Linked DNA regions of Xenopus tropicalis. The protein of the gene in region 2 interacts with the protein of the main gene of each other region in a biochemical or structural test. Links are inferred from orthologs where the notes say so. Each region holds a gene or a part of one and is shown on either strand. Other genes may lie near its edges.

Region 1 (3,654 bases), about 120 Mb from region 2:
ATGATGCAGAGTGAAATTCTGAGACATTTTGCAATTGGCCTTCATTTTTTTTTTTTTTTTTTTATTTGTAGTTTTTTTCTTTTATTTATTTCATTTTCCATTCAGGAGCTCTGCAGTCTGGTGTTTTGGAAGTTATTTGGTTGCTAGGGTCCAAATAACCTTAACCAGGGAGTGATTTGGGGTAAGACCGTTGAATGAATAAGAGGATCTAAATAGTAGGTTACAAGAAGTAACAACCAATAAAATTGTAGCCTCACAGACCAATAGTTTTTTGGCTGTCGGGGTCAGTGACCCCCATTTAAAAACTGCAAAGTTGTAAGAAAGCAAATAAATTGAAACTAATGGAGACCAATTGAAAAGTTGCTTAGAATAAGTCAATCTATAACATACTAAGTTAGCATAAAGGTGAACCACCCCTTTAACTATACGATAGGGAACCTGCCAATGGGACAGACTATTGGGCGAATAGTTAAAACAGCCACATGACTGGACCAAAACTCATCATGGAGCAGATAAGAGCATGGCAGCCTGCAACAAACGGCACAGATCTCACTGGCCATAGGCAGACATGTGAATGGTAATTTCCCAATATCAATAGTACAGACAGACAAATAAAAATACCACTGACAGAAATCTGTGCTCAGTAGGCCACACTCCTGTGTTTAGACGCACTGGGCGGATCCCAAGCATTGCTCTCCCAACCTGTATAAAGGAAAGCTCCGCAGCAGGAGAAGGTGTAAGCACTCGTTTTAAAATTACTACATGCAAACCACTCAGAAGATGTAGTAAACATTAATGGAGGGAGAAGACAAAAGCAGCTCAATCCTGCAACACTGCCTCAAAAACACACACATTTTTGCAGCTAGTTGAATATGGTTACATTTGTGGCAAAAAACAGTGGTTGTAATGAGCATGTAAACTGTTCCTTCTATTTATTTCCACTTTATATTGCCCATAAAGTGGTTTATGAGCATATAAAGCAATAAAACATGTAAAAGGGTATCCAGTCCTATGGATAAGGACAGTCTGCTGCATTGCTTCTAAAGGTTGTAACATATCTCCAGATATCCCCACCTACAGGTGGGCAATATCAGGCTAATCTGGTTATTTGGCATTGGGGCCAAATGACTAAATTAGAACACGGGTATAGGTACAGTCTGTTCCGGGACCGCATCAATGAGCCAATGCGGTCCCCGATCAGACTGAAAAATCAAAACCTGCCCAGTTTCAGACAAGATTGTCTGGCAGGCCTGTTTGTGCCCATACACTGGCAGATAAGCTGCTGAATCGGACTAAAGGACCAATACCAGCAGCTAGAATCTTCCAGTGTATGGCCACCCTAAGCATCCAAACACGGAACCTTCAGCTAAATGCTGGAGCACTGCACTATGAAAGCCTTCGAAATGAGGAACAGATCATCCCAAAAGCAAAGTCTTCACCACCGTACAGATACCACACAAACATCATCCTCTCAAATTCCATTTACCCAAAAAGCTTATTTGCTCCAGCATTTAGTCCAATGAAATCACAACAGCTGTCCATAACATGTCAGTATTAAAATAAGACAACCCTACTGCTGAATGGAGATAATGAACCACCTGTACAGCCTGTTTATAATGGATGTCATTTATGAGGTGCTCCAGAAATTTGTGCCCTACCAAAAACATTGTAAACACGCACTGCACCTAACACAAATTTAGGCCACATTACAACCTGAACAGTAAACAAAACCAAGCACTTTAAAGGACATGTCTTTCACTGGGTGATGCCAAAATGTTTGGTACCCCCCAGTAAAATATGTTGCTACATTTTTTCCCCAGGCTGATGCTCCTGTTAGGAGAGAAACGCATCAGCCTGTGGGGAAAAAAAAGTGAGCTCCCCATCTCCTTACAGCTCTTAGCTCCCTTAGGCATTCTGCACAGTAAAATAAATCTCAAAATGGTATGGGTATACTCATACATGCTGCGCATGTGAGAACAGTAATTTGCACAGGGGATGTCTAGAATACTGTACAACCAGTTTTGAGGGCTTTTAAATACAGCACTTTAGGCAGTCTGGTCCCATAAGGAATGATTCATGAGCATCTGTGCTCCTTGGGCACTGCAACCTACTTTTCAAGTATGCTGAAAAAGGAGAAAAGGGAGCTAGGGCTGGCACGATTATTTAAAAATGCTCAAAAGTGCCTAGTGGCTTCCATTATTTAGACACAGCATTATTGCAAATCAATAGAAAACTGCAGTTAAGTATGAGATGGCATCTCAGACCAATAGAAATACTGCAGTAGCATAGATTTTACAAATGCAGTTGAACTACACACTTGAACTGTGACAAGTATGGAATATTTTGTTGCCATCTGGATGAAGCATATGGAGCTGCGATAATTAGTAAACTTAGCACAGTGGGAAACCAACTTTCATGACAGTAATTTGAATGTTGAGCATGTAAAGCACAGAAGTTCGTGCATCGCCTGATACTACTGAGGTGGCAGGGAATAAATCAAATCCTACTTTTTAAAAATAAAAAAAACAAGGCTTATTCAGTGCCTAAAGCAAGTGTTCAAAATTGCTGACAAGTCACACAAAAAAAGCAAAACAAAACAGTGCAGAAAACATGTTAACCCAATTATAGGCATTTACATTTATTAAACCTGTTATGCAAGCCACCATCTGTTTGGTCTGACAGTGGCCAAGTGAAGCAGTCATTACTGTAGGTGGCGGGACTGCGGATACAGCTCAGCTGCTCCCATATCAAGTGCTTGCGAAGAACGCCACCTAGCAGCCTACTACCAGCACCAAAATATGTGCATTGGTTAAGGCAGCTCAGATATATTGTGAAATCTTACTGTATAGATGCGCAAGAGTGGACCTGGGAGTGAAATTTACCAGTCTCTGCTGTGTGTGTAAACAGGGTTCATGCCAAATAGCAATCCTGAGCCCTTTCTTCTGGAAAAGCACTGTATGTTAACTAACAAAGTCTTCCTCAGTACCGCAGGGTTCCAGATCTAATTCAGCCTCTGCTTCAACTTTCCGGACCTTCGTTGGAGTGCCTGTGAACTAAGGAAAATGAATAATTAGGGTGGGGAAGGTGTCAATGCAGTCAGATGAAGCCCATTAACCTTTAAAGAAAACATTTGATAATATCTGCTCACCCTAAAAAGTTTGTTAGCAACCGTGAAATACATGGTATTTCAAAAACCAATTATAATCCAAAGTAAGCCGAACACCATCCATGTTGTATTATGCTTAGAAGCCCCATGCTGGCATGAAAGAACAAGCAATATTTGCAGATTTTTGCATCTGAAGCCCTTATGACACAGTTCACCCCATTTATCAGCTCCTCTCCACTCATTCCTTTTGCAACTTTAAATCATTTACAAGAGGGAAGTATCTCCAGATACAAAATATCAAATGTGGAGTGAAAATTTAGATTCACACGTGCCCCAGTACAATCCATTTGATAAACTGACCACTCTTTGTACAAAAGAAAAAAAAATGAAATTACTTACTAGGCTGTCTTGTGAGCTTGTTTCCACACAGATCATGTCTTCTTCCGTACTGTGAAGTTAAACAGAAAAGACATGAGGACTACAGCATGACGTATAACCTAAGCCTTCCCATGAAAAACCATACATGCAAGAATAATATCTGCAGTTTA
Region 2 (4,206 bases):
TATCCTTCTTCACATTCAAGGCCTGTTCTTTTGCAGAGTTATAAAGAGACTGTGTTCCAGTGATGTGCCTACTTCTCAACTTTTACATAACTGAAAGAGTTTTGCCCATGCACACTTTTACCACAAAGGTATTCACGGTGTGTTTGAATATCCTGTCAGTCTCACACCCATTAGCCCAGCCCACAGGGGTACATTACAAAAAGCAGATGCATACAGTCAACGATAAACTTTATTTTATTTTGTCGCCATTCCTATGGTCTTTGCCTTACAGATTTGCAAACGCCAGTCAGGGAACCAGGGCTGCTGCTCCCTATAAGCAGAGTATGCAGTCTGCATAGGGCACCAACTCCCAGGGGGGCACCATCCCAGCTGCTCAAAAAAATCATTTTTATATAACATACCCCCCAACACTGTCCGGTTTTTATAGCGCATCCTGCTGTCCCGGATAGTTCAATCAATCTATGGGGGCAATTGGGGGCACTTACTGTGGGGGCTATTGGGGGCACATACTATAGGGGCATTGTCTATGGGGGCTATTGGGGGCACTTACTATGGGGGCATTGTCTATGGGGGATATTGGGGGCACTGTGTGTGGGGCCCCTATAGTAGGTGGTTTTTTTTATTATTTTTTTTTTACTTCTGTAATATTTGGGGGAGGGGGCACAAAAGTACATTTCTGCTTAGGGCACCCATTTGGCCAGCAGCGGCCCTGCAGGGAACTGTCATCTGGAAGAAGTCTAGGAGCAAAGAGAAGAAATGTATGCATCGGCTCCATAACAACATACCGCCCTGGGTTCAGCCCTTAGCTGCCCCTCACCACAATAGCAATTGTTACGAGTACCGGACGGCGTTGACTATTTAGCTGTAAATTGTCTATTCCCTAGCACTGTGCGAACACAGCAGAGCTCTACAGCACTGCAACCCAAGCTGAGTTTGGAAGGGGCGGGGCTTCTGCCCTGCAGGCACGTCACCTTGCCAACGCATCCCTTACTAATAAAGTTCCCACATTTGAATGTTTTTTTTCCGTACTGGCTACCTCATTCTGTGTATCTGGAATTGTAGATTTTATTTCTCTTAGGGCTTTTCTTGGAGGTTGGAAGAAAATCCAAACAAAGGCACACAGAAATGGCTTTGGAAACTGGGCTTTGGGCACAGCTGGGCCTGCAGGATCGCATGTGGGCGGGGATTTAAACGCGTTCGATGACGTTGCAGCCTGGGCATGCGCATTAACAATGTTCTTGTCCGTGTGTTTTTTTTACTGATATTTTGTTTACTGTATATTGCAGTGATGGAGTATGGGAACACGAAGTAGTAGCAGTGCAGGAGGTGGGGAAACTCCGGGAGATTCTCCAGAAGACTCCCAAAACAACCTAGAGTCACGTGGTCTTCAGAATGATGATGATGAGGAGAACGTTGACCTGGCGCAGGTACTGGCGTATCTTCTGCGCAGGTAACAAGACCCCTGACATGTCCTCCATAAACTTGTCCAACTATATTCTTAGCAAACACTGAAGCGAAGGTAGGATCTTACTTATGGCGCACATTGCTCAGTGTTCAGTTTTAGGGTTCTTTTATAGACAGGTAAGGGCTTTAATAGATAATGAGACAGACAATAAATTAAATACTTCTGGAATCTTTTAGCTCAGCAGTATTGTATAATAGCCACTAGGTGGTCATATAGACTAGGCATCATACTGTAAAGCAGAATAGAATTATACTGCAGAGAGGTGGAATATGTAGCATGGTCATTACCAGAAAAGTTGTTTTTAACCTTAAAGTTGTTTTAATCCTTTACCTGTCACCCATCATAGAATCATCATAGAATCTACTGCTTCGTCACGAAAGTTCCATCATGCTGGCCCCAAAGATTCTACATTTTTGTTGTTTCTATTTGAAGGGTGCAAGGTGTTTACTGGCAACATGCAACACGGTTAGATCAAAAACCTGTGCAACAGAAAGGGTTAAATAGTGTCTCTGTTACATTATTTTAGATCATTTGTAGGTAGTTGCCAGTGTCATGGCATGATACTTTATACATCCAGCAGTTGGGTTCAAATGTGTTGCTTATGTTTTGTTAAATTGAAAAAATAATCAAGGAGCAAGGAGCAAATCAGTGCAGAGTTATTTTAGCATTTTCAATCAATACGAAGCCACCAATACTGAGTTACATGGGGATGAGTGAAAATGGAGACACCACTAAGTCATGAAACATTGGGGTTTTTTGTTTTTTTTGCCCAGTGCAGTGGCCTCTCACCTCATTCTTCTTACTGTGATAATGCTACAGCCCTTTTACTTGTAACGTCAAGTCAAGTACTAGCACCATAAAGTTCTTACATATGCACATAGGGCAGCCAGCAGCTACTCTGTGCTGAAGGGTCAAATATAAAGTTCTTTATGTGCCTGTACAGCACATACTGTAAACACTGCAGTCTTTTACAGTATATCACAGTCTATTCTATCAGTTATAATTTCTATCAGAGGTTTATTTATATCTGAGAGCCTGCCGAAAATTATAGATGGCCCACATGAGCATATTCTTACTTTCTGGGTTCAAACAATTCTGGTCATCAACCTCTGCCCTAGAGAATTCTTCATTTTAATTACCTACTTGCAGCCCTTCAAGATTTCTCCTAAATTATTCTTGAGCAGATTTGCAAAACTTTGAGCTATTGTGCACACTACCTCTACTACCCACATGTCAATACTGCATGTAAACATACCCAGAGCTTGTAAACCACTGCCCTCAAACTTGCTTCCCCACTGAACCCTAGTTCTTTCCCATCCCTTGTGTGTGAGGTATGTCTGTCCTGAGAGTTGGTGTCCTTTTCCATCTTAGGGGACAAGTGCGATTAGTGCAGGGAGGGGGTCCTGCTAGCTTACACCTGGTGCAATCTTTGTCGGACTCAGATGATGATAACGACAGTGCCTGGGAGGGCTGCTTAGGAGACCGCTACATTCCTCCTGGTGAGTCGTCTTGTCTTCACACTTACATTATTGGTAATCCACCTTTGCCACACACCCATGCGGAGTGTGATTCACTTTTAGCTGTTAGTTATAATAAGTTTGACTTTAGTTAACTATTGCTCAAAAAGACGTCACCTTGATTTCATATTATAAGATTCTTACAACTCTAAGCCAGGCATGCATATTTCTTAGAAAATCTATCATGTCGCTAGCTAATATGTGAAATTCATTAATTTTAAGCTTGGTCTTCTGAGTGTAAATTAAATGGCAAGATCAACAGCATTTTTTCTTCATTCTACAGAATTTTCTGTGCCATATTCTCTTTTGGTGTGCTTTTTTCTTTAGTTTATATGCCTAAATCTCATTCAACTTTCCTTTTCTTGAAGTTGATTCAGCCCCAGACACCACATCGCTGGATCAAAATCAGATCAGGACACAGACACTTTTGGCCACAGGAAGACAAAGCACACAAAGACAACATAACATCACACGTCTCCTATTGGAGGTATGACTGGCCTACTTACTGGATGTCGGAAGTATGCTTTTACAACATATTGCATCAAAACCATGTTACACATATGGGTTATATTATACATTTTTCATATGAGATATACAGTATTTTGGGCATAGCCTATAAACCTTGAGTCCAGTAGGCGCAAAGTGCAATGTAACTGCCTGTTCTGCATCTTTACCATGGCTTATCTGCACCCACTGCTATCATGTTCAAACTTTTGCACATTCAATAAGGGGGTGAAAAAATTTGCACCTGTTATATGCTGGTAATCAAAGCTTGCACCCGCAATATAAGAGGGAGTATGTAGGTGGGAAGAATGTCTCCTTGGGTGCCCCTTAAAGAAGGAGTAAACCTTTTTTTTCTATCTTTAAAATAAATTACTCTAAACAACCCCCAGAATAACATATCTTAGTCACTTCCTGGTACAGTGTGAAGGCCTGCCCCCTCTTTCTGTTCAGCTCTGCTCATCTATTCGACTATAGGGTAGTCAAAGAGGAGAGCCTTCTTTGCATGCCTGACAGAGAAGAAGCATTCTGGAAATGCACAGTAAGTCAGACAGTTATGTATAGGCACAGAAGAAATCTGCTGCTGCTGCACACTGGCTCCTGCTTCTCTATGCATTCCCAGAAAGCTACCCTGTAGTCGAAGAGATGAGGAGAGCTTCACACTTTACCAAGAAGAAGAGGAAAGAAGCTGAAGATTTCAACTTATAAATCAGAAACCAGATC

The links.
Region 1: the proteins of dcaf11 (region 2) and slbp form a complex in vitro, tested with the Homo sapiens proteins (2 studies listed by BioGRID, with this or other methods). The link is inferred for Xenopus tropicalis from reciprocal best matches to the Homo sapiens genes DCAF11 and SLBP.

Annotation. Positions count from the first base shown.
Region 1 is NC_030677.2:20,337,102-20,340,755, forward strand, and holds the end of slbp (histone RNA hairpin-binding protein), read right to left. Parts: intron 3,555-3,654; coding exon 3,506-3,554; intron 3,054-3,505; coding exon 2,961-3,053; 3' UTR 47-2,960; downstream 1-46. UniProt on the Homo sapiens protein: RNA-binding protein involved in the histone pre-mRNA processing.
Region 2 is NC_030677.2:139,470,339-139,474,544, reverse strand, and holds the start of dcaf11 (DDB1- and CUL4-associated factor 11), read left to right. Parts: upstream 1-1,283; 5' UTR 1,284-1,295; coding exon 1,296-1,450; intron 1,451-2,836; coding exon 2,837-2,964; intron 2,965-3,350; coding exon 3,351-3,469; intron 3,470-4,206. UniProt on the Homo sapiens protein: May function as a substrate receptor for CUL4-DDB1 E3 ubiquitin-protein ligase complex.